2 linked regions of the Rhinolophus ferrumequinum genome follow. The protein of the gene in region 2 interacts with the protein of the main gene of each other region in a pairwise test. Links are inferred from orthologs where the notes say so. Each region holds a gene or a part of one and is shown on either strand. Other genes may lie near its edges.

Region 1 (3,747 bases), on a different chromosome or scaffold from region 2:
ATGATTAAATTCAGAAGAAAATACACAACCATAAATAAGACATGACTGGTTCAACTAACCCACTTTTTGTAACATTTTTAATTGTTTATGTTATTCTGCAGTTTCTGGTAGTTACACTAATAAAGTAATTCTTTAATTTATTTAGATATCCAGTAAAAACGGAGAAAGAAACAAAGTATTAATGTAGGATGGCAAGCTGGGAAGCGTAGCAAAGCAGCTAGAGAGACTGAAGAAAAACCTCTATCTTGCCAAGGAATAATAAATATGACTATAGGGATGGTATCTGTTCTTCCTATATCACTGGTGTACACATTTCATAAATTCGGTCCTTGAGATTATCAGGAAATTTACAGAATGCGTTCACACCATTAAAAATACAATGCTAGTAAAGAACTGTTGTCAGGTTCTGAGTTGTTTTTCTGCAGCTTCCTTCAGTGAAACCAACAGTTAACAGTAAACATGTTTAGGTATTAGCTCATAGAGTATAGGGATGTTCTACAGGCTTTAACTAAATGTTGCAATTGCTTTGGTTGCTATGCAGCTTATAGTCAAAGATTAAGAAAGTATGTCAGTCTCGTCCTGGAGGCCTGCCTGTAAAGTTCCAGGAAAAATGTTTACAAGTACACTTAGCTTGAGATAATAGAAAAATGTAGCCAGTTAAGCATACAGCAATGATAGCTTTAACAGTAACAATGATCATAAGATGTTTAGTTTCTGCCTTTTGTTTTAAAGATAAACATCACCGACACAATCAGGAGATATTTTCCAGAATCTTGGTTTCTCAACCCAGTTATATCACCTGACCAGAGTGAGGAAGACTCCAGACAAGATGATGTCAGGAACTGAATTAATGAGACTCAGGAAAACTGCTAAAAGCTTGCTGAAGAACTAACCCATCAGTTTCGCTCCTGACCTCCACCGCTCAATTTCTGCTTTTAAAGACCCATGATTAAAAACCATGGGGAGTTCGGGTTGTCAGCAATAGATTGCTGTTCTCTTAGCTTGTCGCCCTATCAATAAACAGTTCTAACTTCTCTACTGCAAAACTTAGTGTTCAGTGTTTGGCCCTGCTGCAGTTAAATGGCCGGGCCCTCTTCCGGTTTGGTAGCATCAGTAAGCATTTACTGACCACCTACAAAGCACCAGACACTGTTAGGTGCCAAGGATGATGCTGCAACGTAAGCTCCATTCCTGCCCTGAGATTGGGGATGAGGGAGTGGGGAGTCAAGTAAAGAAAGCACTACCGAACCCCAGGCCCAAGGGGAGCCCAGACAAGCACCTGCCCAGCCAGAGGGTCTCCTACGTCCCATCAATAACCAGCAGCCCAGGATGAGAAGCTTCGCGGACCTAGGAAACACTCTAGCGCACCGAGAACCAGTAGCAGGCGCATTCCCACTCAGTCTGGCCCTTAGGCACTCCCACTGCACAACACACAGACACGGGTCTTTTGGTCATTACGTTGTTCAATAAATATTAAAGGCCATAAGTTCCCCGTGTGACTTTACACAAGTCACTTCCGGCACTGGCACTAGTTTCCTCAATACCTTGAGGCCCAGGAACCTTCCTCCCTTTGGATGGCTGCGCTCCGCCCTCGGGCGGTGTGGCTCCCAGTCTGGGAACTAAAGGTTCTCGGGGGCCAGGAGTCCAAGGCGTTGGGAATTCACCACGTTCCCCTAGGTTTTTTGACAATGTGACCTTCCCACCTCATTCATTTCCTCCACCGACCCCGAAAAACCGGAACTTTATTATTCGTTCATTTACGAAGCCTCTTCTATGTCAATTACGCTACATTTCAGATTTAAAAACAAACAAAAAATCTTGGGCCGACGCGAAACAAAAATCCCTGACGTCCACCGGAGTTCCCAATCCAGTCGGGTGAGAATCAAACGTGAAACAAAGCCTCACTATAAATACGGTCCAAGCACGCACACAGAGCTACGGGCACCGCACAACCACGAGGAGGGGAACGACGCGGCGCGGGCCTGGCAGTGAGCGCCGCCGCTCGGCCACCGCGGCACCCGGAGGAGGGCGCAAGGCCCGCGGGAGAAGAGCGCAAGAGGAGCCGGACTCCTGCGGCCCGAGGCCCGGACCTGGGGAAGCGGCGGCCCGCGGGGAGCACCTGCGAGGCGGCGGTGGGGGGCGCAGGCCGGCCAGGAGCGGGGGTTGGCGGCGGGGCACCGGCTCCAGGAGAGGCCGAACGGGCCGGGGAGAGGAGGGGCGAGGAGAGGCCGAGGGGCGCGCGGGAGTGGGAAGCTCTCGGGGAGGCTCCACGGGAGCCGATGCCCAGCGAGGGAAGGAGGCGGGGAAAGGGGGGCCGGGCAGCCCCAGGGAGTCTGGGGTCACCGCGACCAGACTGGGCCTTCACCTGCGAATACCCGGGCGGCGGCAGCCTCCGCGCACCGAAGCATAAAGGGAGCGCAAGGTCGCCGCTGGGTCCTCGGCTCAGCCGGACCGCGTTCCTGCCCGCTGCGCATGCGCACGCCCCGCCGGCGCACGCAGGCCGGGGGTTGCAGTACGGCCGGGCGAGCCCAGGTGGCGGGGCGCGTTTGGGTTTGGGCGTCCTCGTCCCTGCCTAAGTCCCGGGTTAATTTTCAACCAAAAAGGAATTGTCTGCACCCCGTTCTTACTTCTAAACACCATCCTCCAATAAAAGGAGCCAGGGCTCCTTAGAGAAATGAGTGACTGTAACTGGAGCACGGAAAAGTATAAGCTGAATCTGGGGCATCCTGTAGCACAAGACGTAAAGAATGCTCAAAAAATAAAAGCGTGGAGGCACGTGAAAGGACACAGGAGTCACCCTGAAAAAGCTCCCAATGGCCAAACTTAGAACAATTGGAGCAACAAAATAAATTACGTAGTGTCAGACTATAACAGAGTATAAAGTATACTAGAGTTCATTCTGCTGTAATAAATGATTAAAATACATTAATGGGAAGAAAAGATACATCTTCCTTATAGAAGAATCTTAATCATACTCCATCCCGAGACGGTATTATTCTCCAACCACCCAACCCTGAGTGTGGGCTGTGAATAGTGACTTCCTCCAAGAGAGTACATAATGGGAAGGGAGAAAAATAACTTTACAGAGGAGAAACCTGACAAACACTACTCAACCATGAGATCAAGGTTAACATCGACAGTGCTAAGTCGTGTTGATAGCCCCAGTCTATCTATGAGAAAAACATCAGACAAATAATACTTAAGGGACATTCCACAAAATACCTCACCAGTACTGCTCAAAACTATCAAAGTAATGAAAAACAAGAAAAGACTGAGAAACTGTCACATGTAATATGGTGTCCCGGTGGAATCCTGGAACGAAAAAACAAGGATGTTAGTGAAATAATTGTTAAATTCCAAAAAGTCTTTATTTTAGTTAATAGTAATGATGAGTAACTTTTAGTTTTGACAATTGTACCTTGGTTATATGTTAACATTAGGGGAAACTGAGTGAAGCGTGTACTATCTTTGTAACTTATCTTCAAATCTAAGAATATTCCAAAATTAAAAGACTATTTTTTTTAACGGAGGGAAAAGGGGAAATTTGATTATCATTACTGCTAAACTTTTAAGATGTTATTTAAGCCCGTGTGGAACTGAGGGGGTGGGGTAGCAGCGGGATGGACTCCTGGACTGGGGTAAGGATACTGCCTGGGAAATGCTGTGAGGGAAACTCCTGTCAAACCTACTCCTGAATGGTGGGTACATGTATAAACATTTCAAGCTGAACACTTAAGATGTGTTCTT
Region 2 (3,747 bases):
CCCAGGAGCAGTGATGACAGTAACTGGAAAGAATGCTAGGCCATGAAGATTGTAATCGTCAAGCATGGGGGGCATTGTGACTAGTAAGCAAGTCTAAGTTTCAGGGTATTATCTAAAGCAGGGAATTGGAACAGGGGCACCGAGCCCAGGAACAGGGACGGGGACATTCCAAGCTCAAATCGCAGGGAGGGGGTTGACCAATTGTTAAGCTCTAGGGCAGGGCTCTCCTGGGCAAGGTCTCTTTTGTGGGGGTCCCAACCACGCCCTGTTTCACACCCATTTTACTTTTACAGATGAGGAAATTGAGGATTCGAGAGGTGGTATTAACTTCCCAAGGTCATATGGTTAATTCATGGCACATCTGGAACTCAAACAAGGGTCTGCTAAATGCCAAAACTTGAACTCTTCCGTGATCCCAGGATGTAGAACAGAGATTACCACTATCCCCACCACAGAGATGAGGAAATTGGCTCAGAGAGGTAAAGTAGCCTCCCCACAGTTATACATGCGGAACATGGTAGAATCAGGATGCAAACCTATTTCTTTTATCACCAACCCAGTGTCTACCTTGCCTGAGTAAAGGATCTCAGCAATTCCTTCCAGCGAGATGCTTTTTAATTCCGGGTTGAGACAGGGAACAGTTGGAAGGAGAACGGGTGAAAATAAAGAAGAGACTTGGTCTTGTTGCTGTACTTCACACTCCATGACTCAGAAAGCCAGTGTGGTTGGCCCAGATCCTGCCCTGTCAGCCTCATCCCTTCCCTCAGTGAAGATTAAAAAGTCATTCAGCCAACAGGGTTTGCAACCCTTGAAGCTTGGACTTCCTAGACCTCACGCTGACCCACCCAGCAGCTTTTTCCCTGAGGAGTGTGTGTCCACAGTCCCCATCTATCCAGGGACACTTGTTCCCTGATCCACTCACCTATCAGTGTGTAAGCAGTGAGAGTGGTTCCCAAAAGAGAGTGTGAAACACACATGGGCACAGTCATGTCCTTCCACCCTGGGACACACACCACACCCTCTGACCCCAAACCAGGGGGAACTCCTTTTCCCATTTGGCCCAGCCCAGCATCCCTCCAGGCTGGCAACTGGAAGCCTCCCCACAGGGACACACCCTGGGGGAGGAGCTGCTGTCCTGGCGTGTCCCAGCCCAGCCTAGCAGCGAGTTCCTTTACTGCTACTCTACCAGGTCCCAGCCCAGCCTGGCAGGGAGCTCCCGTTTCTGCTCCTCCACTGGCCCTGTGGGATTGACATGGCCCAGGAGCGTTCTGCCTGCACCCTGGACCTCAAGCACATCCAGCAGCTGGTGCTATCCTCCCAGGAGGCCAAGAAGGCTGCTTACTGCCCCTACAGCCACTTCCCCGTGGGGGCTGCCCTCCTCACCAGGTCCGGGAGGATCTTCTCAGGTAAGGCTGAGGGCTGAGCCCCTCTGACAGCCTGATAGGGGGAGGTCAGAAGAGGATAAGCAGGAAAGGCGGGAGGCTCAGGCAGGGCAGATGGCAGCTCTGTCCCCTCTTGGCTGCCCCCCACCCCAGTATAACCATTGGCCCCTGCTGCCCTGCCTAGTGTCCCAGACGGTAGGGATGAAGGTGCTGCTGAAATCTAGGTGGTTTCAGTCCTTGGAGGATTGGGAAGCCGTGGTGGGTTAAGGGAGGAGGTTGGAAGGAGAAGCCATAAATCAAAAGCATCAGCAGTCCTCTGTGCTGGGAGGGAGCGGGGCTAGTCCTTCCTGAGTCTTCCTCTGCGTGCCACAAGTTACATCAGCAAGTCCTCACCTCCAACCCACTGACCTAGGTGTCATGCCGTTTCTCAATGAAGAAACTGAGGCCCAGAGAGGTAACATGACTTGCTCAAGGTCACATAGGGCACTGGAAGTGGCACCCAGGGCTGTGGTCTCCAAAACGCTGCTTTCTTCCTGTCATCTACCATGGTGGCAAATGCCTGGAGGAGATAGGGAGGAATCCAGGTGGGGTGACTTGTTAATGGGGTACAGAAGGTCTTGGAGGAAAGAAGCCAGGTGGGGTTTGAGAGACCAGCAACAAATGCCAGCCTGGGAGGAGCAGACAGGAATCTGAGTTGGCACTAATCTGTCCTTAAGCTCTTTTTCTTTGGTTTGTTGGTTTTATAGAAAAGCTCACTTGAACAAAAATTCAAACTTGTCTTGGTTAAGCTAAGGGGCATTCTCTTTTAGGATAGTGGGAAAGGTGGTGTGGAGATGGCAGGGAGGTCATGGCCTCCCCACTGCTCCGATTTCCACAGAGGGAGAGAGGGACATGCCCAGAATGCCCTGCTGCCTGGAATCCCCCTTCCGCTTGGCAGCAGCTATTGAAAGGACCAGAGGCCCACATGTATACATCTAGTTGGTAACCCCCAGCAGGCCTGGGCCAAGTGGGAGCCACTCGCCTCCTCCACTGCTCAGGAGGGGCCCACACCTCCTCTTCTGTAGCGGCCCTTCTGGGGTCTCCTTGATATTCATGTTATTTCTTGTCTTTTGAGGTTCCGCATGGGTTTCAGGAGTCACCACCTGGGTCTTAAACATCTTTGAGCAGGAGAAGTAACCTTGACTGGGTGCTAGTATGTGAAAGGACCATCTCACCCTTACAACCCCGCAAGGCAGTTATTAGAGCGCCACTTTGCAGAGAAGGAAACAGAAGCTCAGAGAGGTTAAACGCCCAAGACCATGGATCTGGGATTCGAATCCAGAGTTCCCTTGTCTCCCAAGTTTGCTGGGGGGAATTCGGTGGGGAATAAAGAATCTGAGTGTCCTGTGGAAATTCAGGCTGGCCTGGTGGCTCAGATGAGTATTAAACATTAACCACCACCGCAAACAACGCTGCCACCCGCACTGGCCCATGGCACCAGAGCCTCGAACGTGGAATCAACCATTGATTCTTTCCAGTGCCTCCAACATGCTCTCTTCACCCTTGCATTGATCCATTTATTCAACAAATATTTGCCAAGCACCAATTATGTGCTAGGTAACGTATCAGGTGCTGGGGATACTGCAGCGAGCGGAAATGGCATATCCCCTGCCCACGTGGAGGTCCTCTCCTCTTGCACAGGCCATGGCTCAAAGTGGGAGCCTTGCCAGGGCTTGTAGGAGTGAATGAATGAGGGCAGCAGAAGCATAGCCTATTCAAATTGCAGGGGAGGACCTGGCGTCACCAAAGAAAGGGTTGTTGCCATGGGGATTTCGGGAGGCCCTCGCGGATGACCTGAAGACTCTGGGGTTAGAGGCTCCTCATTTTGAATCCTGGTGCTGCTGTTTATCAGCTGTGCGTTCCTGGGCAAGACGCTTGACCCTTCTGAGTCTCAGCTTACATTTGTAAATGGGGGATCATAATGTTCGCCTTTCAGGATGGCTGTGAACAGAGCTGGTTGGCCTGGCCCGGCGTGGCAGCCAAGGTCACCCCTGATTGTCGGTGCCCATGCCGCATCAGTCACTGAGTGTGTTGAATCTCACCCTGGTTGTGAGGCTTTAAATGAGCTAATGCCTCTAAAATGATTGGCACCGTTTCTGGCCCACAATAAGGGTGTCACAAATGGTGGCTGCTTTTACTTCTACTATTAATGGTCTGAGGCTAATGATATGATGATTTGGAGACAGATGGTGGAGGATTTTGGAAGGCCAAGCAGAGACATTACGATTTGATGAAGTAGGACGGAGGGAGTCAATGAATGTTATTAAGGAGAAGAATAACATGAAACTGGTGTTTGAGGGCAATTAGTCTGACAGGTACTCAAGAA

The links. The genes of interacting proteins can lie anywhere in the genome.
Region 1: the proteins of CDA (region 2) and PLEKHB2 interact in binary tests that used the Homo sapiens proteins (3 or more experiments, as listed by UniProt). The two-hybrid records come from large-scale screens. The link is inferred for Rhinolophus ferrumequinum from reciprocal best matches to the Homo sapiens genes CDA and PLEKHB2.

Annotation. Positions count from the first base shown.
Region 1 is NC_046293.1:92,344,540-92,348,286, reverse strand, and holds the start of PLEKHB2 (pleckstrin homology domain-containing family B member 2), read right to left. Parts: upstream 2,482-3,747; 5' UTR 2,475-2,481; coding exon 2,366-2,474; intron 1,926-2,365; exon of another isoform or gene 1,906-1,925; intron 1-1,905. UniProt on the Homo sapiens protein: Involved in retrograde transport of recycling endosomes.
Region 2 is NC_046292.1:13,888,961-13,892,707, forward strand, and holds the start of CDA (cytidine deaminase), read left to right. Parts: upstream 1-1,159; 5' UTR 1,160-1,252; coding exon 1,253-1,406; intron 1,407-3,747. UniProt on the Homo sapiens protein: This enzyme scavenges exogenous and endogenous cytidine and 2'-deoxycytidine for UMP synthesis.